Mus musculus: one gene and its partners. The protein of the gene in region 1 purifies or fractionates together with the protein of each later gene. This does not show direct contact. Links are inferred from orthologs where the notes say so. Each region holds a gene or a part of one and is shown on either strand. Other genes may lie near its edges.

The links.
Region 2: the proteins of Yap1 (region 1) and Btrc purify together in Homo sapiens (affinity purification with western blotting; 16 studies listed by BioGRID and IntAct, counting the BioPlex papers as one, with this or other methods). This does not show direct contact. The link is inferred for Mus musculus from reciprocal best matches to the Homo sapiens genes YAP1 and BTRC.
Region 3: the proteins of Yap1 (region 1) and Ddx17 purify together in Homo sapiens (affinity purification with mass spectrometry; 3 studies listed by BioGRID and IntAct, with this or other methods). This does not show direct contact. The link is inferred for Mus musculus from reciprocal best matches to the Homo sapiens genes YAP1 and DDX17.
Region 4: the proteins of Yap1 (region 1) and Wwp1 purify together in Homo sapiens (affinity purification with mass spectrometry; 3 studies listed by BioGRID, with this or other methods). This does not show direct contact. The link is inferred for Mus musculus from reciprocal best matches to the Homo sapiens genes YAP1 and WWP1.
Region 5: the proteins of Yap1 (region 1) and Rapgef2 purify together in Homo sapiens (affinity purification with mass spectrometry; 3 studies listed by BioGRID and IntAct, with this or other methods). This does not show direct contact. The link is inferred for Mus musculus from reciprocal best matches to the Homo sapiens genes YAP1 and RAPGEF2.
Region 6: the proteins of Yap1 (region 1) and Ppp1ca purify together in Homo sapiens (affinity purification with mass spectrometry; 5 studies listed by BioGRID and IntAct, with this or other methods). This does not show direct contact. The link is inferred for Mus musculus from reciprocal best matches to the Homo sapiens genes YAP1 and PPP1CA.
Region 7: the proteins of Yap1 (region 1) and Usp10 purify together in Homo sapiens (affinity purification with western blotting; 4 studies listed by BioGRID). This does not show direct contact. The link is inferred for Mus musculus from reciprocal best matches to the Homo sapiens genes YAP1 and USP10.

The regions. Positions count from the first base shown.
Region 1 is NC_000075.6:7,952,563-7,956,112, reverse strand, and holds part of Yap1 (transcriptional coactivator YAP1), read left to right. Parts: intron 1-2,978; coding exon 2,979-3,160; coding exon of another isoform or gene 3,161-3,172; intron 3,173-3,550. UniProt on the Homo sapiens protein: Transcriptional regulator with dual roles as a coactivator and corepressor. Critical downstream regulatory target in the Hippo signaling pathway, crucial for organ size control and tumor suppression by restricting proliferation and promoting apoptosis.
Region 2 is NC_000085.6:45,362,278-45,366,569, forward strand, and holds the start of Btrc (F-box/WD repeat-containing protein 1A), read left to right. Parts: upstream 1-1,456; 5' UTR 1,457-1,561; coding exon 1,562-1,609; intron 1,610-1,803; exon of another isoform or gene 1,804-1,997; intron 1,998-4,292. UniProt on the Homo sapiens protein: Substrate recognition component of a SCF (SKP1-CUL1-F-box protein) E3 ubiquitin-protein ligase complex which mediates the ubiquitination and subsequent proteasomal degradation of target proteins. Recognizes and binds to phosphorylated target proteins.
Region 3 is NC_000081.6:79,543,937-79,548,014, reverse strand, and holds the start of Ddx17 (probable ATP-dependent RNA helicase DDX17), read left to right. Parts: upstream 1-1,273; 5' UTR 1,274-1,770; coding exon 1,771-1,820; intron 1,821-4,078. UniProt on the Homo sapiens protein: As an RNA helicase, unwinds RNA and alters RNA structures through ATP binding and hydrolysis.
Region 4 is NC_000070.6:19,625,481-19,629,030, reverse strand, and holds part of Wwp1 (NEDD4-like E3 ubiquitin-protein ligase WWP1), read left to right. Parts: intron 1-1,025; coding exon 1,026-1,159; intron 1,160-1,257; coding exon 1,258-1,398; intron 1,399-3,550. UniProt on the Homo sapiens protein: E3 ubiquitin-protein ligase which accepts ubiquitin from an E2 ubiquitin-conjugating enzyme in the form of a thioester and then directly transfers the ubiquitin to targeted substrates.
Region 5 is NC_000069.6:79,142,909-79,147,256, forward strand, and holds the start of Rapgef2 (rap guanine nucleotide exchange factor 2), read right to left. Parts: upstream 2,839-4,348; 5' UTR 2,008-2,838; coding exon 1,948-2,007; intron 1,902-1,947; exon of another isoform or gene 1-1,901. UniProt on the Homo sapiens protein: Functions as a guanine nucleotide exchange factor (GEF), which activates Rap and Ras family of small GTPases by exchanging bound GDP for free GTP in a cAMP-dependent manner.
Region 6 is NC_000085.6:4,190,765-4,194,973, forward strand, and holds the start of Ppp1ca (serine/threonine-protein phosphatase PP1-alpha catalytic subunit), read left to right. Parts: upstream 1-1,409; 5' UTR 1,410-1,452; coding exon 1,453-1,507; intron 1,508-1,980; coding exon 1,981-2,112; intron 2,113-2,257; coding exon 2,258-2,488; intron 2,489-3,002; coding exon 3,003-3,107; intron 3,108-3,702; coding exon 3,703-3,926; intron 3,927-4,007; coding exon 4,008-4,142; intron 4,143-4,209. Other genes in the region: Tbc1d10c (carabin), read right to left, coding at 1-45. UniProt on the Homo sapiens protein: Protein phosphatase that associates with over 200 regulatory proteins to form highly specific holoenzymes which dephosphorylate hundreds of biological targets.
Region 7 is NC_000074.6:119,908,888-119,913,161, forward strand, and holds the start of Usp10 (ubiquitin carboxyl-terminal hydrolase 10), read left to right. Parts: upstream 1-1,472; 5' UTR 1,473-2,031; coding exon 2,032-2,052; intron 2,053-2,058; exon of another isoform or gene 2,059-2,549; coding exon of another isoform or gene 2,550-2,645; intron 2,646-4,274. UniProt on the Homo sapiens protein: Hydrolase that can remove conjugated ubiquitin from target proteins such as p53/TP53, RPS2/us5, RPS3/us3, RPS10/eS10, BECN1, SNX3 and CFTR.

The DNA of each region.
Region 1 (3,550 bases):
AGCTTTGCTATTGTTCAGTTTGCTGTAGTTTTCTTGGCCTGGTTGTATTTTGCTTGGTTGGAGACAGGGTTACATTCTCTAGAAGAGCTGGCCTGTCACTCACTACAACTCCAGCTTACCTTCTGTCTCTGGTGATCCTTCTGCCTCAGCTTCCCCAGTGCTGGGACTGCAGAAACAAAACACCATTCCCAGCCCAGTCTGTTGTCACCAAGTGTGCTTTATAGTAACGTAATCTATTATCACCAACAGTAATAAAAAAAAAAAAGTGTAAAAAACTTGGTCATTTTCTATATTTTAATACATGAAATGCTTATGGGGTTTAGGTTCTGTTTTGATGCTTGTCATATTTCATAATCCCAGAACTTCTCAAAAATGAAAGGTCATTTTCTAGCACTATTCATCTATTTATTGAATAGTTTTTAGGTTCTAATAGTATTTTTTGTTTTGTCTGCATATATGTCAGTGTGCCACATGTGTCCTGTGCCTATGGAGGCCAGAAAAGGGGCAATGGCCCCCTGGAACTGGAAATACAGATGGTTGCGAAGCACGGTGTGGATGCTGGGAATCAAGCGTGGTCCTCTGGAGGAGTGGAAGGCGCTCATCCTGTGTCACCTGCCGAACCATTTGTTCTCTTTCAATTAATTACAACTAAAGACACTTTTCTTTCCAGTGGGCATTTGCTCTTGGCCTCAGCTTTTTTTTTTTTAAGATTTATTTATTATTATATGTAAGTACACTGTAGCTGTCTTCATGCACCAGAAGAGGGGATCAGATCTCATTACAGATGGTTGTAAGCCACCATGTGGTTGCTGGGATTTGAACTCAGGACCTTCAGAAGAGCAGTCAGCTTTTAAAAGTAATTTTTAAGATTATATATATTCATTCGTATATAAGAGTGTCTCTTGGTGTACACACACACACAGCCATGATATAAAAATATGTAGTTTGTTCAAAACAGAATCTGAACAATGTCCACAGGAAGCATCAGACTCAAATCTAAATGTTTTAATAAGATAGTTCTTTAGTCTGATTCACGACTTGAACATATTGTTTAGGACGAGTTGGCTCCACAACATCATCTTCAGGCTGGCAGTAAGTCTGTGTATTGTACCCAGTGTGTAGCCTGGTGATACTTAAGCACCATTCTGGCTGGTGGAAGCCTCTATGAGTTTTGTCCCAGTGCTATAATGACAGGGACCTGAGGAAAGGGTGTTCCCACTCAACTCACCTTGTCCCTGCAGATTTCAGTCAAACCTGTGATTAGGTCCCTGGGAAACGGTATTCCCAGCTAAACTCATGGATAGCCACTGTCAATGCAGTGCTCTCCTTCTTGTCACTCCTACTTACAGCTCAAGGTTTTATGTAGCTTGTTTCTCTTATAAAAAGCACTGGTTGTTCTTACAGCATCCACAGGTGACCTGAAACCATCTATAACTCCAGTTCCAGGGGATCCAACAACTACTTCTGACCTCTGAGGGCACCAGACACACAAGTAGTGCACAGATATACTTAATTTAATAATTAATTGAAAGAGAACAAGTGGTTCGGCAGGTGACACAGGATGAGCGCCTTCCACTCCTCCAGAGGACCACGCTTGATTCCCAGCATCCACACCGTGCTTCGCAACCATCTGTATTTCCAGTTCCAGGGGGCCATTGCCCCTTTTCTGGCCTCCATAGGCACAGGACACATGTGGCACACTGACATATATGCAGACAAAACAAAAAATACTATTAGAACCTAAAAACTATTCAATAAATAGATGAATAGTGCTAGAAAATGACCTTTCATTTTTGAGAAGTTCTGGGATTATGAAATATGACAAGCATCAAAACAGAACCTAAACCCCATAAGCATTTCATGTATTAAAATATAGAAAATGACCAAGTTTTTTACACTTTTTTTTTTTATTACTGTTGGTGATAATAGATTACGTTACTATAAAGCACACTTGGTGACAACAGACTGGGCTGGGAATGGTGTTTTGTTTCTGCAGTCCCAGCACTGGGGAAGCTGAGGCAGAAGGATCACCAGAGACAGAAGGTAAGCTGGAGTTGTAGTGAGTGACAGGCCAGCTCTTCTAGAGAATGTAACCCTGTCTCCAACCAAGCAAAATACAACCAGGCCAAGAAAACTACAGCAAACTGAACAATAGCAAAGCTGCTTGCAGGTTCTCTTGGAAAGTGCACGCTCCAGGTCCCCATAGCACATTCACTATGGAAATACATTAACAATCAGGGTTGGTTATCTTGTTGGTCAAGTTCTCAGAAAGTGGTCTTTGAACTGTTGATTCAGTCATATCCTTTGTTTTAATGACTGTGGTTTGGTTGTGAGGGCGTTCCTCCCCGCAGGGTCTATATGAAGGTCTCTCTCTTTCTGTGAAACCTAGATTATGTAACCCACCAGCTTCCGGGAGATCCCCTACTTCTGCCTTACAGCGGGAGTGCTGGGATTGTACATGTGGGTCATCCGGGCTGGAGAGATGGCTCAGTGGTTAAGAGCACTGGCTGCTCTTCCAGAGGTTCTGAGTTCAAATCCCAGCAACCACATGGTGGCTCACAACCATCTGTAATGGAATCTGATGCCCTCATCTGGGGTGTGAGACAGTTACACTGTACTCTACATACATACATACATACATACATACATACATACATGCATACTTAAAAAAAATAGATGTGGGCCATCAAATTGTGCTTATCTGTGGCCTCTGTTGATTAAACTCATGTTATAGGGCTTAGGTGGCAAGTACCTTTATCCACTGAGTATCTTGCTGGCTCTTTAATCTATTTGTACAACTTGCCGCTTTGATTCCTGTTCTCTGATGCTACACAAGTTCCATTTGCCTTAGGCTTCTGTAACAGTTGTGGCAGCCATGAGTCACAGCCATCACTTTTATGGTGCCTTCTCATCTATCCCCCTTGCATGCTCGAGTGATCCTTTTCTAGTCTCTGAGGACAGTCTTTGTTTCATTTCAGCCATGAACCAGAGGATCACTCAGAGTGCTCCAGTGAAGCAGCCCCCACCCTTGGCTCCCCAGAGCCCACAGGGAGGCGTCCTGGGTGGAGGCAGTTCCAACCAGCAGCAGCAAATACAGCTGCAGCAGTTACAGATGGAGAAGGAGAGACTGCGGTTGAAACAACAGGAATTATTTCGGCAGGTGAGACCACAGGTTAGAGTGCAGCCTTTGTCTTCTGGGCTTTCCGTCCCACAAGTCTGTGTTTCTCATTTTAGCTTCAATCAGCTACCAAGGAATGTCTGGTTTGTGAAAGTAGGCTCTGTCTGCCTGTCTTTGTCCCGTTCCTTGACTAGCCTTGGCTCACATGCTCTGTAATTCATTGCCCTACATCATAAAGAGCTATTAGCCAGAGTGGTGGTGCACACCTCTCCCTCTCATCCAGAATTTGGGAGGCCATTGCAAAAAGATCAGGAGCTCAGGACCAGCCTGAGCTACATTGTAATGTGAGGGCTAGCCTGAGCTACATGACAATTTCAAAAAGAAAAGAGAAAAGCACCTGTGCACTGGGCATTGCAGTTAAGAAGGAACGCT
Region 2 (4,292 bases), on another chromosome or scaffold:
AAAAAAAAAACCAACAAAACAAACAAACAAACAAACCCAGAAAACACCAACCAACCAACCAGAAAAAGAAAGAACAACAGAAACCTAACCAAAATTTGTTGTATTATTCCTAAGTACCATTCTCTCTTGGCCAATGATGTTCTCCTAATTAAAGATCTACTCCAGGTGAGGCACAGTAGTGGCTGTGGGTCATCATGTGGGTGCTGGAAATTGAACCCAGGTTCATTGCAAGAGTAGCAACTGCTCTTAACCACTGAGCCCATATACCCCAGCTTTTTATGTGGGTGCTAGAAACTTGAACTCAGGTCCTTGTCCTTTCATGGGAAGCACTCTTATCTACTGAGCCATCTCCCCAGCCCCATCTTGTCCCTCTCTTTTCTTTTGTATTTTTCAAGACAGGGTTTCTCAGTGTAGACTTTGCTGTCCTGGAACTTGCTCTGTAGACAAGACTAGCCTCAAACTCACTACATCAACCTGCCTCTGCCTTTGCCTCCTAAGTGTTGGGACTAAAAGCATGTGCCACCACACCTGGCCCATTTCTGGCTTTTTTTTTTTTTTTTTGGTTTTTTGAGACAGGGTTTCTCTGTATAGCCCTGGCTGTCCTGGAACTTACTCTGTAGACCAGGCTGGCCTTGAACTCAGAAATCCTCCTGTCTCTGCCTCCCGAGTGCTGGGATTAGAGGCGTGCGCCACCATGCCCGGCTCCCATTTCTGGCTTTTTATGGCCAAAGACACTACTTATAGATTTCACTTGCTTGATAGTCATTGAATTTCATTTATGTAACACAGGACTTTGATCTCAGGGTTAGCAATGGTAGTTCATACTTTCTGAGCGCTAAACTCAAGGTTTCCTGGAGTGAGTTCTATCTGTCCCTGGCTTGCTTGGGGAGAGAAAAGGCTCTTCTGAAAAAAAAGAGGCAATAATAGCTTAGGATGTTATCGGAATCTTGCATTGATGTTGAGGCTGCTGTTACATGCACACTTGGCTCAAGTCTCTAGGTCTCAATCTTTCTGCAGATGCCAGATGTATGAACTTTAGGAGGGTCTGGTTTTCTAAAATCACAATTAGGGAGAACCAAGGACCCTGAGTTCTCTATTTTCCTAGTATTTGGAATACAGAGGAAGCGCTAGTCGCCATCTTGCTATCAAATGCCAGGCAAGGAGCCACTGGCGTCGTTTGGTAACCACGGTGACACTCCGGCTTTGCCTTCTTAGAGACTGGAAACTACAATTCCCATCAGCCGACTTCCCCTCCGGGCTCTCGAGTGCTCTACATTTGGCTTGCACACAGCCGCGACTCTACGCAGTGACCCGTGGGAGTTGCTGTTCGCCGCGTAGCCTTGCCTTTTGCCGCTGGAGCCTCCAGAACTACAAGTCCCGTGAGGCAGCGGAGTGCGCACGCGCAGAGCCGCGGTCCTCCTCGGGCCCCCTGCCAGTGCCAGGAGGTAAAAAGAGAGGGCGGGGGAAGGAAGAGGAGGCGGGATCCGGACGCTGCGTTGGCTGCGGCCTGGCACGAAAGGGGCGGCCCCGGCGGAGAGCAGACCCAGTAGTCCGGGCGATTATGGACCCGGCAGAGGCGGTGCTGCAGGAGAAAGCGCTTAAGTTTATGGTGAGGAGATGGGTGCGGGCAGGGGACTAGTGGAGGCGGCTGCGTTGGCGTGTCGCTGAGCTTAGGCCAGGGTCACCCGCTCACCGCAGGAGGGGGCAGTGGGACTGGGGGCCAAGGCCAGTGGCGAGGCGGAGGGAGGGACTGGACCTGAGCTTGGGGGAGGGTGCAGGAGGGTACAGAGGGGACCCTGGGGTGGGGGCAGCAGCTCCGCCATCTTGTGGAAGAGAGGCCAAGTGACAGCGGGAGCTCATTCGAGGTGGGGGCTCCTGGCGGCGCGCGGGGCCCCAGAGGGAAAGGGGCGTGGGGACAGTTACTGAAGAGCGGAGGAACCCGGGTGGAGAGACGCCTGTGGACGCTGGCAGGGGCCTTCCCGGTGTCAGGGTTACGGGTAAGGCCTGGGAGAGGAGGTGCACTCAGGAGTGGGGAATAGTGGAGATAGGATAATGGCAAGACAGACACTGGGGGCAGGGGGAAACTGGGCAGGGCTGGAAACTGATGGCTGTAACGGCGAAAGTGGGAAAACCATGGCTGGGAGGCAAGTATTTTTGTAGGATGGGCTGAGAAGATAGCCTTTGCCTAAGGGCTAAGGGTGGAATCCCAGTTAGCTCTACTAATGTTGGCAAACTCTGGAAGAGGCCTCATTTAAGAAGATAAGGACTCAGACCTAGGGCTATGGTGACAGTTCCTGGGAGAGAAAGACAGTGTTGATTGTGAGCTAGAATTACAAATATCAGAAAGGAGATACGTGCTCTGTTTTGAAGGAGAGGGTCAAAATTATTTGTGGTAAGGACAAAGCGATGAAAGAAATGTAGTTACAGGTGAGTGGGGACAAGGTTAATAACCAATAAGAGAAATCAAAACAAAACTTGGGCCTTCAGTGGTGAGGTAGTAAAAAGTGGGGGAAGCCAGGTGCTGTATTGCTTTCTGTGAGAAGAAAGTCCTTGGAGAAATGAGATGTGAGGAAATTTCAGAGGAAGGATGTAGGGAGTAGAGAAAGTGAGATAAGTCGGGATTGGTGGTTGCCCGTGAGTTTTAGGTTGTAGTACAGAGTGAGTATTGCATTTTTAGGGTCTGTGTCAACCCCTTAGGCCCTGTTTCTGTAACTTTGTATGGTGGTTCTCCTTTGCTGTGCTTGTCTTTGGCAACCTTGACCAGTCTGATATTTGATGCTTTTAATCTGATGCTTTCTTGTATAGCCTAGGTGTAAACCAGCCTCTAGTTACATCTAAAGAAGGATGGATGCATAGATTTTTTTTTTAAGCTTAACAGGTGGTCTTAGGGATAATGCATTATTTTCAATCAAGTCTTGTGGTTTTTTGTTTATTTGTTTGTTTGTTTTTGTTTTTTTTCAGAAGTAATTGTAACCCATCTTTCAAATAGCATTCCTTGGTTGAATAGTTTTTTTGTGCCTTTGCCTAAAATGCCATAACAAATTTGATAAACATAGATACTAACTTAGTTGAAATTAGGTTTTAAATTGTCCCATTCATATTTATAGAAGCTGGTCAAATTTAACTTTTTATTTTGGGGACTGGAGAGGCTGCTCAGCAGTTAAGACCATTGCTGCTCTTCTAGAGGATGAAGGCTTGATTCCCAGCACCCACATGGCTACTCACAGTGGTTTAACTCCAGTCCACCCTCTTCTGGACTCCCCCCCCACCCCCCCACCATGTACACAGGTGAACAGGTGATGCACAGACATACATGCAGACAAAACATCCATACACGTAAAATAAATAAATAAATAAATAAATAAATAAATAAAGTGTATTAAAAAGATAAAATTTTAGCTGGGCTGTGGTGGCTTGGGAACAACACTTGGGAAGCAGAGGCAAGACTGATTTCTGAGTTCAAGGCCAGCCTTGTCTAGAGTACCAGCTCCAGGTAGTATGAGCTCTGGGACAGCAGAACTACATAGAGAACTTCTGTCTCTAAAAGCCAAACAACAAAAACATTACTTTGTATCCGTACCTTCAGAAACACAAGTTTGTCATTCACAAAATTCTATTGAGCCAAAAGACATTTCTTGAATTTCTGTCCTGTGTTGACCTTCTAAAATATTGAGACCCCAGGTCTGGAATTGTGGCTTGTACCTTATTCTCCAGTACTTAAGAAGTGGAGTCAGGCTGGGGAAGGTGGCCTACATCTGGACTGGTAGGTGGATCTCAGTTTGAGTCTAGCTTGGTCTACATAGTGAGTTCTAGGATAGCTAAAGGCACATAGTAAGAACCTGTCTGAAAAACACAAAAAAGAAAAGGAAGAGGAGGAGAGGAGGAGGAAGAGAACAAGCAGGAGGATGGTGAGGAAGAGGCAGGAGTATTGGCCAGGTGAAAGCCAGCTTGGGCTACATACGGAATTATACCCTGTGTCAACAGACCATAAACAAACAAAAAAACCAAACAAGCTAGCTAGGTGTGGTGGTGAATGTCTGTAATCCTAGCACTGGGCGGAAGGGTCAGGAGTTAAGTCTGCCAGGGCTACTTGAGACCCTGTTTACAAACAAGCAAATGAGCAGAGACCTTGAAATCTTGGGGGAGAGGATGGGAGTAAGTCAGTACTGCTTTTATGCCCTCAGCCAGCTTCCAGTTGTAAGTCAGAAAAGTGCTCAGTTTTGTTTTCCGGTTTCGAGGGTTGGCTCTGAAGAGGAACCTGCCATTTAATTAGATTTATGGAATAATGAGAC
Region 3 (4,078 bases), on another chromosome or scaffold:
TGTGTCACCCTGGCTATTCTGGAACTCACTTGGTAGACCAAGCTGGCGTTTAACTCAAGAGATTCACCCACGAGTGCTGGAATTAAAGTATGGCCTTCCCTTTAGTGTTTTTTTGCTGTTGTTCTTGGAGGTGCTGGGTGTTGAATCCAGGGCTTCAGTCACGGTCAGCAAGCACTGTTCCACAGCCTCAACACCATTTTCTTTTCCAAGTCAGCAAAAGTCTAACATACACATTTGTCATCTGTCTCCTCTCCGTCTCTAGAGAATAAAGCTCTGTGCCAAGGAACGTGTTGGATCCCCAGTGTCCCAGCAACTAGCACAATGCCTGGCTCTCCATGGCCGAAGTGACAAATGAACCGTTTCTCAAGACGCCTCTTTACTCTCCTGGCTTTCCTAACCTAAGCAACACTCAGGACATGAGACAAGACTAAGCCTCCAGTCTGCCGGCCTCCATTCTCCGCGGCGGTAGAAATGAGCCTAGAGGTCTCAAGGAACCCAGCAGTTCCACAATTTAGTAAAGCAACTATGTCCAAGTTTGTGTGGCTTGGCAGTGCGCAGGGATGGCGAGCCAAAGAAAGCAATCTAGGAGTTGGGTGGCACCGGCGGCCTAGCCCAGCCTGCCCTCCCCGGATAGGGTTTGCAAATCCTAGCCTGTCAAACCCACCGCTTCTGCAGTGGGGCACCCGGGTAAGGCACCCATTTTCATGGTGGCTAAGGTCCAAGGCGCCCACCTCAGAAAGGACTCTGGGAAGGTGTGGCCTCTGCGTCAACTACGGCCAGAGGAAAAGGTGCCAACCCTTTGTTCGGAAAATAGCACCTCAGTAAGAAACGCGGGAAACACAGGGTGTCTTTTGGCCCAGCCAGGCTGTTGGCCGCTGAAAGAGAGCGACACGACGCATCCAACATGGCTGCGGCGCCAGCGCGGCGAAAAGCGACGGGAAAGAAATGGCGCCGGGCTGTGTGGCCAGCTTGGGGCACACGGCGTTGGGACGTTGGAACCAAGAAAGCGGCCTCAAGACTCTCTGGGTTCTACTGCCCAGAGACCCGGAAGTCTGACTAAGGCTACGTGGAGTGCTACCATTATGTCTGCACAAGGCCGGCCTCAAGCGCCGGGTTGAGCTCGGAATGCCGGGAAAAGTCCATTCTCGAAACAGAATGCGCTACGAAGACTGCGCTGACCCGCAATAGTGGGCGGGCCAACGACGCCAACACTGTGACGTCGTGCCGACGGCTCGCCCCACCCCCAGCCAACGTTCTAGAGCTGGCGGTGCGAGAACCCTACGCCGGTTGCGCACATTGCCTTGTTTAAGGTGGGCCGACCAGGGCCCCCATCTCCGTCACCGACGTAAAGCGGTTCCGAGAATGTCCGTGGCGTCGCGCGGAGCCCTCCAGACGCTGTTTACGTAGCGTCTGGGCCGTGCGTAGCGTTAAGTTGGAGCGGTCTCCGCGGCCGCCGCCATTTTGTGCAGTTGCTGGGAAGGAAGGGAGACGCCTCAACCGTGGCACCGCCCGGTTTGAGCGGGACCAGACCTCCCGACTGTCCTAACAACCCCGATTCTCTGAGTTGTGCTCCCGTCTCCGACGAGAGAGGCGGCGACGGTGGCGTCTGCGACGGGAGACAGCGCGTCGGAGCGAGACAGCGCCGCGCCTGCCGCCGCCCCAACAGCGGAGGCGCCGCCGCCGCCATCGGTCATCACTAGACCCGAGCCGCAGGCCCTCCCGAGCTCGGTCATCCGTGCCCCGCTCCCAGATCTTTATCCGTTTGGGACCATGCGTGGAGGCGGCTTTGGGGATCGGGATCGTGACAGGGACCGTGGAGGGTAAGGGGGAGGTGCGGGCGGGGGGCGGGGTGGCCCGCAGAGCCCTGAGGCTCGCGCCGTACAATGGCGGCGGCGCGCAGGCCTCAGGCTTGGGCGGACGTCTCTGCGGACCGCGATCCTGGCTCGGAAGTGGCAGGCCAGCCTTGTCGCCTCTCTTGGCCCGCTCGCTGATCATTTGATCCCTGCAGGCCGGCCGCAGTGTCTGTCTGGGGGAGGATCCGGATGCTCAAGTTTTAATCTAGGAAAAGCTGCTTGAGATCGTTTCTTTTCCGCTATGTTAGCCATCCCTGTTAGAGAGGGACTGGAGTCGAAAAGGCCTTTTTTTGGTTTTAAACTAGGTTTTACTCCCTTTCTGTTATATTTTTGGTTAAGTGGAATCAGATTGGAATGGGAAGTGCTGGAGTTGCTTTCCAAAAGATCCAAATTGCGGGTGACTTTTTTTTTTTTTTTTTGAAACTAACAAAGCCTGTTGAAATCAAGAGAACTCCTTGAGGTGGCACACCCTGCACTAGAGACTGAGTCAGGCTTGGAGTTCAAAGCTAGCCTGGGCTACACAGATCAGAACAAGAGAACAGTTAGCAGAGTTCAAAGTGAGGGCAGTGGTAGAAAGAAAAAAAAATCAGAATAAGCCTTGTAAAGGAATCGTAATTGTAGAAGCTTTATTCTGTCCTAGGTCATTATTCAAGATCCAAGCAGTTTGGGATTATAAGCAAGCCCAGTGGAAATAACACATAGGAGCCACATTATTATCCTTATTAGACTTAGCCTTAAAATCTCCTAAAGATTGGGTTTTGGCCATTATTACAGATTGAAAACAAAAGAAAACTGGTTATTTCTAGAAGTGTTTTAGACTTGTATCAGTTGCTTCATTTGCAAGTGGAGTAAAGTAGTCAAATGAGAAGGCCTGGCTCACTGTAGTATTGCACTGAAAAGCCAGAGGCCTTTTAAAGGTCTTGGTGGGTCTACTCAGTTGAATGTTTTTCTTTCTAGTTGTGCTGGTTTAGCAGTGGTATTAATAAGTCACCCAAATTCTGCCTACTGAATGTAGATACCCAAAGAATTCCAGTAAAATTTCTGGCCATGATCACTGCAGGGTGGGTTTGTCTCAGGGCCATGAAGCTTAGTCTAACGGTTGTCCTGGAATGTGTCCTCAGTGTCCCCAAGTTCAGAAACACGGGTGTAGGCCACCACACCAGGTTCTAACAGAAGAGGGGATTACCTTGTGGGGTTCCTGCTACCTCTCCCAATATTGGCAGGTCTTGAAATGAAATTCTTTAAAATAACTTGAAATTTCTCCAATTTTCTAGTGGTTTACAGGAAATAAGGAAATGAGATCTTGCAGAGCATGGTGGCTCATGCCTTTAATCCCAGCACTCTGGAAACAGAAAGAGAGGCCTCCAGCACAGCCAAGGCTATATAAAAGAAACCCTGTCTCGAAAAACAAAAGAAAAAAGGAAATGAGATTTTTTTTTTTTTTACAGCCCTGTACTCTCATAGATTAAGACAAAGAGGGTATATTAGGATTGTAGTTTCTAATTTCTTGTATCTTAGGTTTGGCAAGTGGCCATATCTATATTGTTTAGCTTACCTGTTTGTTGTATCTAAAAGACAAGGCTTATTTAAATCTGAGGGGGGTTTGTTTTGACACAAGTCTCATAGACCAGACTGCCCTTGAACTCTGACCTTGCCCACAGCTTTCACGTGCTAGGACTACACGTTATTCAATACCATGTCTAGCTTTGAATCTTATTTAAAAAACAAAACAAATACCCATAACCTACATTGATGGGGTTTTTGTTTTGTTTTCTCCCTGTAACTAAATAGTATTATTTGACCCTGGTGTGGTGACTCACATTTATAATCCCAGTGTTTAGGAGGCTGAGGCAGGAGGATTTCATAAAGAAGGCTGGAGAGGAAAGGATTACAACTCTTTTATTCTGGCTCTTTCTTTAGAGTAAACTAAACACACTAGACCCTGATGTCCCAATAGTTTGCTTTATAGAGTAGCAGAGAAGTTTTTGCCCCCAGCATAAGTGGGGAAATTGGCTAAGAAGCTGTTGTAAATTTGAAGGACTTGCTTGAAGTACATTTTTTTCGATGTCCACAGTCTTGGTCTTGCAGTTTAAAAGAGTACCACTTCTCTGCAAGAGCAGAGACCGTTAGTTTTTATTGTATCCAGAATCTCTAGTGCCAATTAAAACTATACTTAGTATAAAGTCGGTATCACTAACTTTGTCAGAGAGCTAAAATAGGTGGGA
Region 4 (3,550 bases), on another chromosome or scaffold:
TCTGCTTTAGAAAAATTCATACTGCAGTATCCTAGAGAATTTGGTAACAATTAATAGGATTCTGATATTGTAGCTTAGGTTGATAGCCTACCCCAACCTCCTGTGTGCTGGTTATAGCCACCAAGCCCAGATGAGGAAAAAGAACTGGATGAACCCCGTAATATAAGAAGTATTGGCAAATGACCTTGAATCAAAGGGAGAAGTTTGTATTGCTCACAAAAGTGGTAGAAAGTTTACTTGCAATAGGAGTATGAGAGTTGAGATGCTAGTGGTGAGCAGATGGGTAGACTACACAAATGTGCTCCCGGTTACCATTTCCTGTGTGCAGTAAGTTTAGTAAGTATTTGAGGACAAAGGAATAGCAGTTCGTAGTCATCTGAGACAGGGAAACTGAATGTCGTGAGTAAACATGCTTCTATGAGGTTGCTGGTCATAGCTAGCTAGCTTGCTATATGTACTTCTAGCATGTTCTACCACTATATAGGCAGTATAAATTCTTAATTGATTTTGTCTAGATTTGGGAGTTTGTTAGAAATACATTGGGGAGGGTTTGAAGCTATATAAGAAGATAATTTCATGATTTATTGATTTAATGTAAACAGATTAAGGGTCTGCAAATAGTTTTAGATATTATGGATTCAAAAATCATTGGTGTCTTCCTGTATTCATGCTGTATGTAGGCATGAAGACACAGGGGTCCTACAGATTAATAAAGGAATGGAACAAAGTACATGGGCTTTTTATTTCTGTGTTTAAGTTAATTACTAAAAATATTTAAAAGTGGCAGAATTTGGTAATAAAGTCTCATCATCTCTTTATAGTTTTTATGTACATTATGTTTGACCTATGAAATAAATGTTTTCATTGTAGTTTTCTATGCATTGCATAGTATGCTAATCTTCACATTTTATACCATTGAATAGTGCTTTTTAATATGTAAAGCTGCATGATTTCTATATTGTCACTATGCTATAAAGATTATTATTTTGTAAGTTTAAATAAAATGTTTTGTTTGTTTTTAACAGGCACTGTTCCATGGAAAGTTTATTGATACTGGTTTCTCTTTACCATTCTACAAGCGTATGCTAAGTAAAAAACTTACTATTAAGGATTTGGAATCTATTGATACTGAATTTTACAACTCTCTAATCTGGATAAGGTTTGAAGTTTTTTTTTGTAATAGAAGTAATTACTTGAAACCCATTCCTATACTGTGTTTATATGCACACTCACACTATTTTTTTTTTTTTTATCCAGAGATAACAATATTGAAGAATGTGGCTTAGAAATGTACTTTTCTGTAGACATGGAGATTCTGGGAAAAGTTACTTCACATGATTTAAAGTTGGGAGGTTCCAATATCCTGGTGACGGAAGAAAACAAAGATGAATATATTGGGTAGGTTGATAGAGCTGATTGAATTCATTCTGTAGAAGGTATGGGATATAATTAGAAATATCCTATATTTACACTCTTAACCTTAGTAGTTTTTATGAAACACATGGAAAACTCTCGTCAGGTTCTTTCTCCGCTGGCTCAGGTCCTTGTGCTCTGTGCTGATCCAGATCCTGCTCGAGTTTGCTCGAACAATGCATATCGTTAGTCACTTTCCCATGTGCATTCGCAATAGGCAGTCTCGCTTCTGACCAAGTCAGAAGCCATGACAACATGCTGCTGAAAGCGATTTCCAGTCTTCAAAATCTCAGAAAGAAAAGTTGTATGTTCTCCTAGCCTATTACACATATACATATACAATGCAATGTGTGTGTGTGTGTGTGTGTGTGTGTGTGTGTGTAAAAGTGCACTTCGGGATAGTATAACCTGAAGAAGAGAACAGGAAAGAGTAACTTATCAGAGATGATAGTGAAAGACTGAATGAATGTAGGTAACTGAAACTTGATTCATAAAAGAGGATATAAAGTATATTTTTTCTAGTTTTAAATCTGCCATTTTTTGGTGATGGATAAATGCATGCAAATATTCAATAGTGAAAATCCAGTGTGAAGCTTCACAGCTTCAGAATGTTTATAACGATCAATAGATGTGGGGTCTGGTTAATTTTGGTGTATGAATTTTTTATTTTTAAGTTCTTTATGATAAAAATTTAACGTAAAGTATTTTGCAAAGGCGATGTAGCCTCCTCGTTTACAGATGAAGGGACTGAAGCTATGCCAGGAATGGGCAGAATTGTGTCTGGGAACTCCCCTTTCACTGACATTTCATCCCACACTACTCTTGAAAAGTTTTAGTATTTATTTATTTTGGCTTTGCAAGAAAGGGTTCTCTATGTAGCTTTGGCTGTTGTGGTATTTGTTCTATAGACCAACCCAGACTCAAAATCAGAGACCCACCTACGTTTGCTGGGAATAAAGGTGTGTACCAACACACACAGCCCACAATCCCAATTTTTAGCTTGTACATAATAAATATTTTATTGGCATCTATTCAGTATGTATGCTGCTGGGTTGTACAAAGAAGTTTTAAGTAACCATGGGCTTTGAGTATGTTCAGTCTTGCATTTCCTCCCCCTAGCCTTACTGCCTTCAGCTACTCTTATCCTTTCCCAGTTCGTTTTCTATTTTCCTGTCACAGGACAGCTAGAAAATTGGCTCAGTAGTTAAGAGCATTTGCTGCTCCTGTGTACTAAACTCCAGTTTGGTTCCCAGAACCTACATGGTAGCGCGCAACCATTTGTAACTCTAGTTCCAGATCCGACTCTGTCCTCTGCAGGCACCAGGCATTCACATGGTACATATAACATATGTGCAGGCAAATATTCATCCACTTAAAATAAGAACACATCTTTGAAGAAAAAAGTAACGAATATATACCTTTCTGAAAAAAGGGAAGCATGAAACCTTTGCTTTTCTGTCTGGTTTATTTCACTAAACATAATCATTTCTAACTTTACGCATTTTCATCAAGTTGAGATTATAAATATAATTAGATTATTTCTCTCTTCTTATCCCTCCCTTCAAGCCCTCTCCCATGTACCTCTGCTCTCCTTCAAATTCATGGACCCATGCTTTCATTAACTGTTGTTACATGTTTATATGTATATGCGTATATATTCCTAAATATAACCTATTCAGTCTGTATGATGTTAATTGTATGCATATTTCCATGGCTGTATGGTATTTGGTAAGCAATTAGTCCTCTTTCCTGTTTTTGTCTTTTAGTAGTTACTATAGAAGCAAGCCAGATTACATGCTCAGCGGCAGTGTGTAAGGATGCTCTTTTCTCTGCTTCCTTGCTAGCATTTGTTGTTTTCTCTTTGTTAGCAACTCTGGGGTAAGATGGAATCTCTGTGTAGTGTTAATTTGCATTTCTGTGATGACTAGTGATGTTGAACATTGTTGTTTTTGTTTTTGTTTTTTTTTCCATTTGTTCCTCATCTTTCAAGAACTGCCCATTCATTAGACGAAAGTCAAGTGGCTTTTTAACTCTAGGGCCTGTATTTTATCAAATTGATTCATGTCTCTGTTTTTAGCCAGGCCATTTATTTTTCTGACTGTGTTTCTGTATAAATTGAAACCACCATGGTAATATA
Region 5 (4,348 bases), on another chromosome or scaffold:
TAGAAGTGACTCAACTGAAGTCAGCTGTGACATTTTTATGATACAGCATTATAGGAGGGAAAAAAAAAAGGCTTATCCACTGCAGTTATCACCATGGGCTGACCCACCACTGCCTGAGGACCTGAGCTGTTTTCCCCCTTCCGACGGCCAAGTGACACATGTCAGTCAGAATGAACTGGACGACGGCCAGCAGCCAGACCGCAGAATCCCAAGCTGCCCATGCCCTGCACTCTGAGCTCTGGGTGCAAATCCTAACACTTCATTTGTCTGGTGAGAATGTGAAGTAGTTATTAGGAAACAAACTCAAGTCTGGCACAAAGCACTGCCTCCTGGTCGATGGGCAGCGCTTAGTGCTCTCCATTCCAACAGCTCTAGCATCTCACAAAATCCACGTGTCGCTTCCCTGACCCATCAATGGTTTTAATAATTCTCATTGTTAAACGTGTATTAGGAATTTAAATGCTACCCCTTCCCACTTGGGGAACGGTTACATGAGAAAGGTGCACGGTGAGCCTCTGAGCCTCTGAGCTAAATCTCTGCAGCCGCCTCGCTCGAGTGCAGATTAAGAGGCACTCTACTCTTTCCTTGGAAGCTCTAACTAACTCCATGGAGCTGGGCGCCAAAGACCTGCACTAAAATCAGACTCCAGTGCGAGTTCTGCTTGACAACCTTTCTTTTGGAAAATGAGGCATATGGTGGCTCTTTTCTAGATTAGGTCTGAAGAGATTTCATCAAGGAAACACACCTAGAACCCGACCAGGATAGGGCTGGACAAGGCACGGAACTGGAATTTGCCAGGGAGGCTCATTCACCTCCTCAGGGTCACTGCATCTAAGGAACTTCCCTGCACCCAACGGAAGAGCTCATCACTTACTGATGACAAAACCGAAACCAAATACTCTAATCCATGGCATCCTACTTACTCATTTCCAAGGCTTTAGTGGTTTATAAGTATTTTTAAAGTTCAACACTACTGCATCAATTCTTACAATAAATTAAAACTAACTCCTATATCATAATGTACAGGTCTAGGATATGTAAGGAGACAGTTCTAAAATGCTTATACACCCACCTAAATCTGAGCACATTATAAGGAGAATAACATATATGTGTGTATGTACATACACATACATATACATATATGTGTTCACATACATACATATGCACACATATATATGTCAATATCATGAACTGGCAAAACGGCAAAAAACTTGTAACATGGTGACACAAAAGTCGCACTACAGGAGTGCACATATTCCCGGAACAGGAGGCTCTGACCTGGAGTTAGACACAGAAATATGTTTCTCACAAATAGCAGTTGTTGCCTGTGGGATTTCAGCAAGACAATCGCACAGCTGACTCATGGGACCAATTACAAAGGAGCAGTAATCTTTCCTGTGGCACTAAAACAATACAGTGTGCTTTCACCACCAATTAACAAATGTTAAGGAGTCAGAAGTGTACCACCGATGGTTTCATTGCCAAATCAATAGCCAGAGCCCCCACCCTCCCACCCACCTCCACGTGCATTCCTTGCCAGATTCCCATGGGCCAGAACCTCTTATAATGATTCACTAAATTCAACCAAAACTGGTTTCTCAAACTGCTTGGGCATTTACTGAAAACTATATTATTTTCTAATGACAAAAAAAAATAATAATTAGCTGTCTAGTATTTCTCAATGTTAGTGGTCCTGTTTAAATGAACTGTTGGTCTTGCTTAAGATTTTCAGAAATCACAGAAAATCGGAAGAATGAGTGAGCTGTAGCTCACCCTCCCTCCCTCCTTCCCTCCCTCCTCTGAGCAGAGGATCTCTCTCTACCCTCTAAAACACTGCTTCCCCTGGAGAAGAGCAACGCTCCATGGAAAAGAACTCCCTGCCTGCTCCCCACATCGCCTGCCCCCCAGCCAGGCAGCCCACGATGCCGGCAGCGCCTGGATACTTACAGACTGCTTCTCCTGCTGGCCCAGAACTCCATGGTTAGCAGGCGCGGCCAGTGGTTTCATAATGAAGAAACATATGCTGAACTGAATTTACACATCATGTACCAACCTCTCACGACGGCAAGTCACCCTCTACAGCATGAAATTAAAAGAAAAAGAGGGGAGGAAAAAAAAAAAGAGGGAGGAGGGAAAACCAGGCTGCAGCTTAAAGTGTCACTACTGGTGAGCCTAAAAACCCTTCACACTTGTAGACAGAAAAGGAATCTGAACGACAGGGCTCGGCTCCATTTTTATCACACTGAAACTCTAACCCTCGGAGGCTCTGACAAGGCTGAGGGAACCTCACCCAGCCTTCAGGCTTCTGATAGAACGAGATCATTTCTGAGGCTGAAGAACAAGAGGCAAAAGAAAAGGGGGGAAAAAAAAGCTAAAATGGCTGACTGCACACAGACTCCCCTCCAAAAGGCTTAATACAGAATTATATTAGCCAGGGTGGTGAAAAGCTAGTCTCTAGCATTCAGCCAAGCATTGTTAACACTCTTGTTTCATTTGCAATCACACATACAGACCCCTCCAACCAAGGAAAAAAAAGAGAGGAAGAGAAAAAAAAATCAGGGCAGAGCGTGTGAATCAGGACCTCCTCCCTAGCTGCTAATGATGCTGACAGTGGTGACCAGTGATCTCTGTCCCACTCCACTAACCAAGTTTACACAATTAATCTCAGCAGTATGACACTGATGGACATTTAATTTAATGATGTCTGTCCCTCACACTCAACACAAGCATGCCTGCTAGCCGGAGTCACTGACAGAAACATGGAACATGCACACACACACACACACACACACACACACACACAATCTCAAGAATCATGAGTCTGAATGCAATACACCAATATAATTACATTATTGTGCTTACTTTGGAGGACCATGGCTGCAGGCAGTTGGCATAGCAACGCACAAGGAAAGCCATTTCCTGGGTAGAGAAAGCTTCCTTTTCTAAATAAAAAAAAATCCCTCTTAGGAAACAAACGGCATTGCTGCTTCCCGCAGAAAGCAAGACACTGTAGTCTGTCTCTTAACCTGCAAGCCTCACACTCGCTGAGGTTCTAGTGATGTAAGTGGGTTTCTCTCTCTCCCTCCCTCTCCCCATATACGCTGAAATATTCAGCTCAAACGGTACACACGTTCCTTAAGGCTCGCCCCCTCCTCTACTTAACCATTTCACTCATTAAGGTAGCGATGGACAATTCAGATAAAGTAACAAGCTCTTGCCTGTATTATATCAGCGGCTGTAGGTTAAGCAAGTCTCAGAGGGATGGAATCCATTGATTGCTGACTCCAAATAATATCACTGAAGACAGGGTGGGAAAACGGAGCAAGGACTTACTTGAACAGCTTTGAACTAAAATATGAATTTTTTTTTAACCAAGGTGGGGAGAAAGGAATCAATGTGACCTCTGCCCCACCCTCAAGTATTATTGTGCCATAGTAAATAAGACTGTCTTAAAATTTATAAAATGCAGGCTTAGCAAGCTTTGTTAAATTTAGAAGATGAAATCACACACACACACACACACACACACATATACACACACACACACACACACACACACACACGCACGCACGCACAGATGCACATATGGTCGTGTCAATAATATTATAATAAACCACCTGGGTTGTTTTTTTTTTTAAACAAACCAAACTTCTAGAGGTGGAACTGAAATTAATGAAGAAATGTTATTCTCCCACGGTCTTAATTTCACCTACGCACACAGGTTACCTGGGAGGAGGCTGCATTACAGCTGACGAGGAATAAAGACACTTCCATCAGCTCTCACAAGCAGCTACACTTTTGAATGGAAGAGAGGACAGAAAGCAGTTATGGAAAACATGTCATCTCTTACAGTGGCCTTTGGCACTGTCAGGGATTCCTACTGGGTCTCTTGTCTATCTGAAGACCGTATCCATCCTCTTCTCTCTTCCCCTCCGTAACAAAAGGCAATTATTCTTTCCAATCATGATGGGAGATTCTTCTCCCTGCCTCCCACCCACTTCTTACACTTCTTACATTACTCATTACCTAATCGCCACAGATTTGAACATACTGCTCCCAACCAAAGATCTGCCCTGTCAACTTTTAAACGTCCGTGCCTCTCCTACCTCAAAGGCAAAATTAAACTAGATTCCTCCTTAGACACAATTTCCTATGTCTACAGACATTCTCTTCCCACACTTCACAACCAAATCTTGCAAGAATTCCTCATTTTCGACTTTCCCTGTTTTTCCATCCTGTATGTTATGCAGATAAAAAGCCGCTTGGATCTGGTACAGGGTTATACATGTTTGAAGCATGTTCAACACCCGTTCCTCCTGATATCCATTACACTGTTTCTAGTTTTCCT
Region 6 (4,209 bases), on another chromosome or scaffold:
ATCCTGTAGTTCTGATAACAAGTCCTCTCCCAGGGCCTGGGCCATTCTGCCCTGGACCCCAGTGTCACAGGCTGCAAGACATACAGAGAGCCAGTGTGAACAGCCAGACTCAGGCTGGGGATTCCAGCCACCAGTCCTCAGTCACAGGGGACTAAGCCCCCTCTTTTGCTGGGGAGTCGGGTAGACCCTGAGACCAAGTCTCTGTGCAGAGCCCCAGCCCCAAGCCTGGCCCCTACCCCAGCAGCCCGGCTCACCTCCTTGCTGCACCTCACCTCTTCTTCTCACTTCCTCCTCAGTCTCAGCTCAGCAGCTTGCTGGGGGCCCCTCCCTGGTGGGGGGACTCCCCCCTTCCTCTGTGAGGTTCTTCCTGCTTGCCCTAGTGCCAGAGCCACGACCTCCTCCCATCCAGAGGATGCTGGGTGTATTGATTCCCTGGCTGGCCCAAATTGAAGATGACAGGCCACCTTCAGTTTTACCAAGTAAAACCAATTTATGGTTCCAATAATAATTATCCTTTAATGTCATCCCACCCCTCCAACCCCCTGCCCCGGGTTTTTTGTTTTGTTTTGTTTTGAGAGTGAAGGGGTAGTGTGAGAACAGGGTCTTATGTAGCCCAGACAGGAGATGACCCTGAACTTCTGATCCTCCTGTGTCCAGACTCCTGAGTGCAGGAATTTCAGGCACTGGAATTATAGGTTTACGACACCAAGCCTACTTTAATGTTCCTTCCAGAGCCGGAGCTGGAACCTCAGGCCTTGCACATGCTAGACAAGTCCAAGTACTCTACAAAGGACTTACAACATGAACGAGATACAACGTATTACATCACTTATGGAAAAAAAATGGACGTAGCAGGCACCAAGGCAACCTGGACCAAAACACTGCTTAGAGTTCAGTAGCAGGTGTTCATGGGTCTGGCCATAAAGATGGAGGTGAATGTGAGGCTCCGGAGGTCTGGAGCCCACTCTCAGTATCATTAAGCCTTAGTTTCTTTTTCTGCACTTCGAGGAATTTATTTAGTGTTTGAGAAGTCAGCGATTAACATGCTCATACCACAGTCCCACGCAGGGCTGGGGTGGGAGAGACTTGGAAAGAGAAAAACAATTCCTACAGTACTTCCGGCCCTAACTCATCTGAACGCGGCAGGGCGATTCCTCCAGGGTGGAGCCGACCTAACCCCGCCCTACCGAACCCCGGCTCACCACCCCTGCCAGCCCCGCCCGCTCGCCCGAGGCCCTCTCGGGCTGCGGAGCTTCCCGTCCAGGGGAGGCGCTAGAGAGCGGGGAACTACGGACGCGGCAGGGCGGGGCGGGGCGGTCGACCGAAGAGGAGGGGCGGCGGGCCGGGGGCGGGCTGGGGAGGGCGGAAGGAGAGCCAGGCCGGAAGGAGGCTGTAAGAGGGCGGGAGGCAGGAGAGGGCCCGGAGCTGGTGGGCCGGAGCGGCGGCGCCGCCATGTCCGACAGCGAGAAGCTCAACCTGGACTCCATCATCGGGCGCCTGCTGGAAGGTGGGCAGGGGTAGGGAAGGTGCGCTCGCGCCGAGCCCGGGCCCCTCGCCGTCTGGAAGTGGCGCGCGGGCGGCCCGCCGCTCCCGGGGGCTAGCGTCGCTTGGGCGGGGACAGGCCGTGAGGATCCATGGCCACGGCACCCCCCCCCCCCGCGGGCGCCTGGGCTTTGGAGCGCGCTCAGAGGCCGGGGGTGCACGAGTGCCCGGGACTCAGGGTGAGGCTCCTGCGAAGCTAGCTGGGAAGGGATCCCGAAGCGAGGAAGCTTCGGCTGACAGGCTGCTGAGCACAGGCGTTTCTCTGGAGGCCCTCCGGGTGGCTAAGGGGTCGGATCTTGCCTTTGAAGGCCTGACGCAAAGGTTTCGGGGTGAGGGGGTGGGGGCTCACTTGCAACAGTTGCCCCTGTTAGGGGGGCGCGACACCTACCCTCGTCCGGTCTGCGAGGTCAGGGTCCCAAGACCCTATTCCGTACTCAGTGCAGGGCTCACGGCCTGGGAAGAACGTGCAGCTGACAGAGAACGAGATCCGTGGTCTGTGCCTCAAATCCCGGGAGATTTTCCTGAGCCAGCCCATTCTTCTGGAGCTTGAGGCGCCCCTCAAGATCTGTGGTAAATCCTTGCACAGAACCCTTTTGCTTCCTGAAAATAGCCCCTACTCGTGCCCCATTAACCGTGTTCCTCCACCCTTTAACCTATTGCTGGCCCTGGGGTCAAGTTTACATCTTGCACCTACCTAGTTTTCTCTGGTTCCCAGGTGACATCCATGGCCAGTACTATGACCTTCTACGGCTGTTTGAGTATGGTGGCTTCCCTCCAGAGAGCAACTACCTCTTCTTGGGGGATTATGTAGATCGGGGCAAGCAGTCTTTGGAGACCATCTGCCTGTTGCTGGCCTATAAGATCAGATACCCGGAGAATTTCTTTCTACTTCGTGGGAACCATGAGTGTGCCAGCATCAACCGCATTTATGGCTTCTATGATGAATGTAAGTGCTTTGAATGTTGCTGTCTGCCCAGAACTACATTCCCTGCTCTTCATGGGCCCCCTACATTGGTCTAGTGCCAAAAGACCCCCAATGATGAGCCCTGTAGGGCCCCAGCAACACGTCTGTCGTCCTTGGCGCTCAGGAGGGGCCTGGTGAATGGATGTACATGCAGGGCTGCCCATTTGCTAAAGCCACAGCCCTGCCTGATGACACCCCCTTCTAGTACATTCCTTAGTAAACATTTAGGATGCCTGTATGAATAAAACAGACCCACTCCTGGTTTGGCCTCATCCATGGGACCAGAGTGGGTACCACCATCATGGTTGGGCCAGACGAGTTCAGGTGTTGGAATTCTGGAAGGTAGATGAGGGTAGAGCAAAGAGAAGAATGTAAGCTTTCTTTGCTTTTCGGTCTTTTTTTCTCAGCTTTGTCCCTGGATGGGTGCACAGAAACCTAGACTGGGGTTGGGGGTTGGGGGTGTAGTCTTCCCTATGAGCCGCTTCCTTTTGCGCAGGCAAGAGAAGATACAACATCAAACTGTGGAAGACGTTCACTGACTGCTTCAACTGCCTGCCCATTGCAGCCATTGTGGATGAGAAGATCTTCTGCTGCCACGGGGGTGAGAGTGGTTGTGGGTCTGTGCTTGGGTTCTTGGGCCACATCCTTAGGGGCCTTGTAAAGTTAACAGAACTCTTCTCAGTTCCCTGGAATAGCGCTCCTTGAATCTCATCTTGGATATCGCTTATTAGGGGAGATTACCACACCCCCGTTTGTTTTTGAGACTGGCTTTCTGGGTAAAACCCTGACAGTCCTGGAACTCACTTTGTAGACCTGGTTGGCCTTGAACTCACTAGAGCTCCTGCCTATCTCTGACTCCCAAGTGATGGGATTAAAGGCATGCTCCACCCACCAGTTTGGTTGCACTCTTTCCTGTTGTGGCATGAGGCATCCTGTAGTCAACTCATTAATCTCCTTCTGCCCCCCCACCCCCGAGGTCTGCTATCTGTACTTCTAAGTGGTGGTGTCATATAAAGTGAGTTCCAGGACAGCCAAGGCCACAGAGAAATGGGGCCAGTGGGGAAGTAATGGATTCTGTCTCCCTGAACTTAAGGAGCCCAGATTAGCGGTGGGAACAGTGGAGCTGTCCCACCCCAGAGCTGGGCACAGGACAGCACTTGGTTTAAGGAACACTATTCCCACTCCACCACCCCCAGGCCTGTCTCCAGACTTGCAATCCATGGAGCAGATTAGGCGTATTATGCGGCCCACAGACGTGCCTGACCAGGGCCTACTGTGTGATCTCCTGTGGTCTGACCCTGACAAGGATGTTCAAGGCTGGGGCGAGAATGACCGTGGTGTCTCCTTTACCTTTGGGGCTGAGGTGGTAGCCAAGTTCCTGCACAAGCATGATTTGGACCTCATCTGCAGAGCACATCAGGTGGGCTGGTGGCCTGGGGCGGGCTGGGGGTGGGGGTGGGGTGCCTAACTTACAGACTAAACCGTTCCTGCCCTGGCCCAGGTTGTAGAAGATGGCTATGAGTTCTTTGCCAAGAGACAGTTGGTGACACTCTTCTCAGCTCCCAACTACTGTGGAGAGTTTGACAATGCTGGTGCCATGATGAGTGTGGATGAGACCCTCATGTGTTCCTTCCAGGTGGGTGTGGGGAAGAGGCTGCCCAATAGACGCCTGGCTCAACCCCAGGACCCTGATGAGTGTTTTC
Region 7 (4,274 bases), on another chromosome or scaffold:
GGCGTGCATAACCACGCCTGTCTCTGGTCTGGATTTTATCAGAGACCTGCCTGCCTCTGTTTCAGCCATCTGAGATTAAAGGTGTGTGCAATCAAGAGGGCCAAAAGAAAATTCTCAGGAGAAAGAAACCATTGAACCAACTCGTAGAGTTTTGCTTTGCTTTGCTTTGTTTGCTTTGTGGAGCCAGAGTTCGGAGTATGAAGCGTAGCCCTGTACTAGGGAAGTAGGGGCGGGAGATACAGGAGTTTCAGTTCATCCTTGGCTGCTAGAAAGTTTGAAGCCAATGTGCATGGGGCGCACGCCTTTAATCCCAGCCCTTGGGAGGCAGAGGCAGGCAGATTTCTGAGTTCGAGACCAGCCTAGTCTGCCAAGTGAGTTTCAGGACAGCTGGGGCTTTACAGGGAAACCCTGTCTTGAAAAACGAAAGAAAGAAAGAAAGAAAGAAAGAAAGAAAGAAAGAAAGAAAGAAAGAAAGAAAGAAAGGAAGGAAGGAAGGAAGGAAGGAAGGAAGGAAGGAAGGAAGGAAGGAAGGAAGAGAAAGAGAGAAAGTAAGTTTGAAGCCAGTGCGCATGGTGGTGCCCACCTTTAATCCCAGCATTTGGGAGGCAGAGGCAGGTGCATTTCTTAGTTTTAGGCCAGCCTGGTCTACAAAGTGAGTTCCAGGACAGCCAGGGCTACACAGAGAAACCCTGTCTTGAAAAACCAAAAAAAAAAAAAAAAAAAAAAGAAAAGAAAGTTTGAAGCCAATTTTTGCTACATGTGTAGCACAGCAAAGAAAAACAAAACCAAGACACCTGAGGGCAACTCTCTGGAGCAGCTGTGCCCACACTTGAACATTATCCTTTTCCTTCTTGTCTCTAGATCCTAAACTCAGTCCTACCCGTGTACCCTCTCTCACCTCTACTTAATAAACTTGCCAACTTTGCCCCACAGGGGCTTGTCATAAAATTCTTTCCTGGCCCGGCAGTGGTGTACACCTTTAATCCCTAATCCCTGCACGCTGGAAGCAGAGATAGGCAGATCTCAGAACTCAAGGCCGGCCTGGTCTACAGCTGGGAGTAGGAGGTTTAGTAAGGTTTTTTGTTTGTTTTTATTATTATTATTGCCTATATGGCTGAGTCAAGAACTTTCCCGTGTGTATACACTTGCGTGTGTGCAATAACTAACACCTACTGAGTCTCTACCCTTTGCAGAATGTGCTAAGTCATCAACATGACTATCCACCCCCCACCCCGAGACAGAGCTACCTTACGTAGCTGTGTGTGACCTGGAACTTGCTATGTAGACTGGTCTGCAATTCATAGATGATCGTCCTACCTCTGCAGTCTATATACTGAGCTCACAGGAGTACAATTCCTGGATTAACGAGTTCTTTCTAAAATTGTTTATTTTGCGTGTGCCCCTTTGTATGTCAGAAGACAGTCTGTAGTTGGTTTTCCCCTGGCGTCATGTGGATCCAGAGAATGGAACTCATTTGGTCCTCAAGGGTACAGGAGGCAGGGCTCCGTTACCCGCTGAGTCATCTCACTAGCTCCTTCAACGTTTACTTTTATGTTTTACAAAGAAAAAAAAAATCTTTTTTTCCCCAATGCCAGGTAAAACAAGCTAGTGAAGAGAATGAAGAGTGAAGGAATGAATGAATGAACGAACGGTCAGAAGAGCGCGCTCCATAGGGTAAGGGATCCTTGGAGATCTCCAGCGGAGATCCCAGGGCGGAGCTCAGGCGGACCCAGCGCAGTAACCACTCCGGAACTCCACCTTGCAGCCCCAGGGTGCCTGGCCAGCTCCATCCTCACGCCCTCGCCTGGAGCAGCCGCCCTCGGCGCGCTGGGGACAGAAGGGTCGCCGGCCCGGGGCGCACGCCCACCTGTCGCGCGCAGGCGCAGAACGCCGCCTGGCTCTCCCGCGGCGCAGTCAGTGCGCAGGCGCGGCGGCCGCTGCGAGTGTGTCTGTGCGGCGAGAAGATGGCGGCGACGGGAGACGCGGCGTGAGAAGCCGGAGCAGCACCGAACCTCATTGAGACGGGCCGCCATGGCCCTCCACAACCCACAGGTAGCGCGGGCCGTGTCTGGGCTGGGAGGTCTGGGCCACGGGACGGCCTCGGGGCGACGATCGCGAGGTGCGCGGCGGGCGAGCGGTGGGGGAGGCGCCGGCACGCTGCCGGCCTAGGCCCGCGCCGCGCCCCTCAGTGCCGCGCTTCCCCGGCTTCGGAGGCCGCCCGAATCTCCCCGAGAGCGCCCGAGCCGCCCCGAGAGTGTCCGAGCCGCCCCGAGAACGCCCGAGGCCGCAGGGAAGGCCTCCGCGTGCCCGGCCCGCAGCCGCCGAGTCCCGGGCGACGCTCTGGCCCAGCGCCGCCGGGGACCTGGCCCCTGGCCTCGGGAATTCTATTGCAAAGAAAACCGGGAAGCGCCGGGGCGGCATACTCCGGTTTGCCCGAGACTGACACCTTTTGCACGGTGTCCGAGCCCGGGCTGGGTCGGGGCCCGGCAGGCCGGATTGCCTGCTGTGTTTTCTGTGCCCGGAGCTGCTCCTGCAGCCCCTCTCCTAAGATGCACTTAGGACGAGTGAGAAGTCAGCACGTGGTGCCGCTTCTCCGGGCTGCGACTCTCGGGAAACTAAGAAGTAAAATTGCCTTTTTGAGGATGGTAGGTGGATGTATGTACAAGGCAGGTGAGGTCGGTCTGGTGAGGCCACCTTTGAAGAACGATCGTCTTTTTATTTGATCTTTCTCTTGGTCCACGATCGCCTCTAACTTAAGTTTTTTTTTTTCCCTATCTCAGCCTGGTGCGTTGCAGGCAAGAGCCACCATGTGCTTTTGAAAGGTTTTAGTAACTGTTGCAATATGGGATTTAAACCTCGAAACTGTTTTTAATAAAAGGTTAGATCCTAGGAGAAACTTCCGTTCTCTTAAGTATGTGGTGTTTCATAGATCAAATCTGAACTTTGCCTGTTTGACCTTTCCCCTCATCTGTAAATGCTTTTGTATTTGGTGTGCTTTTTTTTTTTTCAATAGGCAGACGATTCGTATTTGTTGAATAATATTTTGACAAGTGGTTTTTTTTTTTTTTTAAGTTTTAGACAGGTCTTCATTATGCAGCTGTGGTTGGCTTGCGATTAAGGCAACTGCCTACCTCTGTCACCAGAGGCCCTGGCGATTCGGAATATTCACCACCACCACATCTGGTTCTATTTAGGCATTTTTATTTTATTTTATTTTATGTGAATGAATGCTTTGCTTGCATATATGTATGTTCCTGGTGCCCATTGAAGCGAGAAGAGGGTGTTGGATCTCCTGGAACTGGAATTAGAATGGTTCTTAGCCTCTGAGTCCTGGTAGAAATGGAACCCCAGTTTTCTGCAAGAGCAACTATCTTAAACCTTGGAGCCATCAGCCCTTCATAGCCTTGCTCAATTCAAAAACACCTGTAGTCCCAGCACTAGGGAGGCAGAGGCAAGCAGATCTCTGAATTTGAGGCCAGCCTGGTCTACAGAGTGAGTTCTAGAACAGCCAGGGCTACACAGAGAAACCCTGTCTCGAAAAACACCAAAAACCTCTAGTTGACTACCTTGTTTTATTTTTGGAATTAGTCTGTACTGCTCATTCTGAACTGAGCTGTAATGTCAATTCTCTGTGTGTGTGTGTGTGTATGATTTTGGGGCAAAGAAAGCATGCTTAAGCAGAATTCACTTTCTCAAGCACCAGCAACAATATCCAGTTGGTGGAAGTGGTGGTGAGTGATTTCCTTGGGGTCCATTGTCCTGGCATTGCATGGAGCCTGACCGGAGAAACCAAACAAATGTTAGCAGTGCCTTGGGTCAGCTAGTGGTAGAAGGGAGAAGAGGTGATGGTAGTTTTAGTCCTGTTTTATTTTGAAAAGACGAGTGAAATAGCTGTGTAAGGTGGAGCACACCGGTACCCCCTGCATGCGGGAGGTGGAGGCAGGATCAGGAATCCAAGGTCATCCCTAAGTACAGAGCACGGTGCAGTTCTCTCCCCTTCACGGAGAAAAAGGGGGAGATGGAAGGAGGGAGGGGGAAGGGGAGGAGGAGGAGAAACAGGAGTTCACTGTTTTGAGTCTGTTTTGAGTCCTAAGTATTTTAACAATTAGTTCATTCAGTCAGATACTAGCAGGTTACCTAGGGCTAGCCTCCATGATGTTCGAAGTGGGTGGTTTTTGTTTTGATTTGTTTTTGGAGACAGGGTTACAATGTAGCCCAGGTGTGCTTTAGACTTGAGTTTTCCTGCCTCAGCCTCTCAGGTTTTAGGGAGGAGC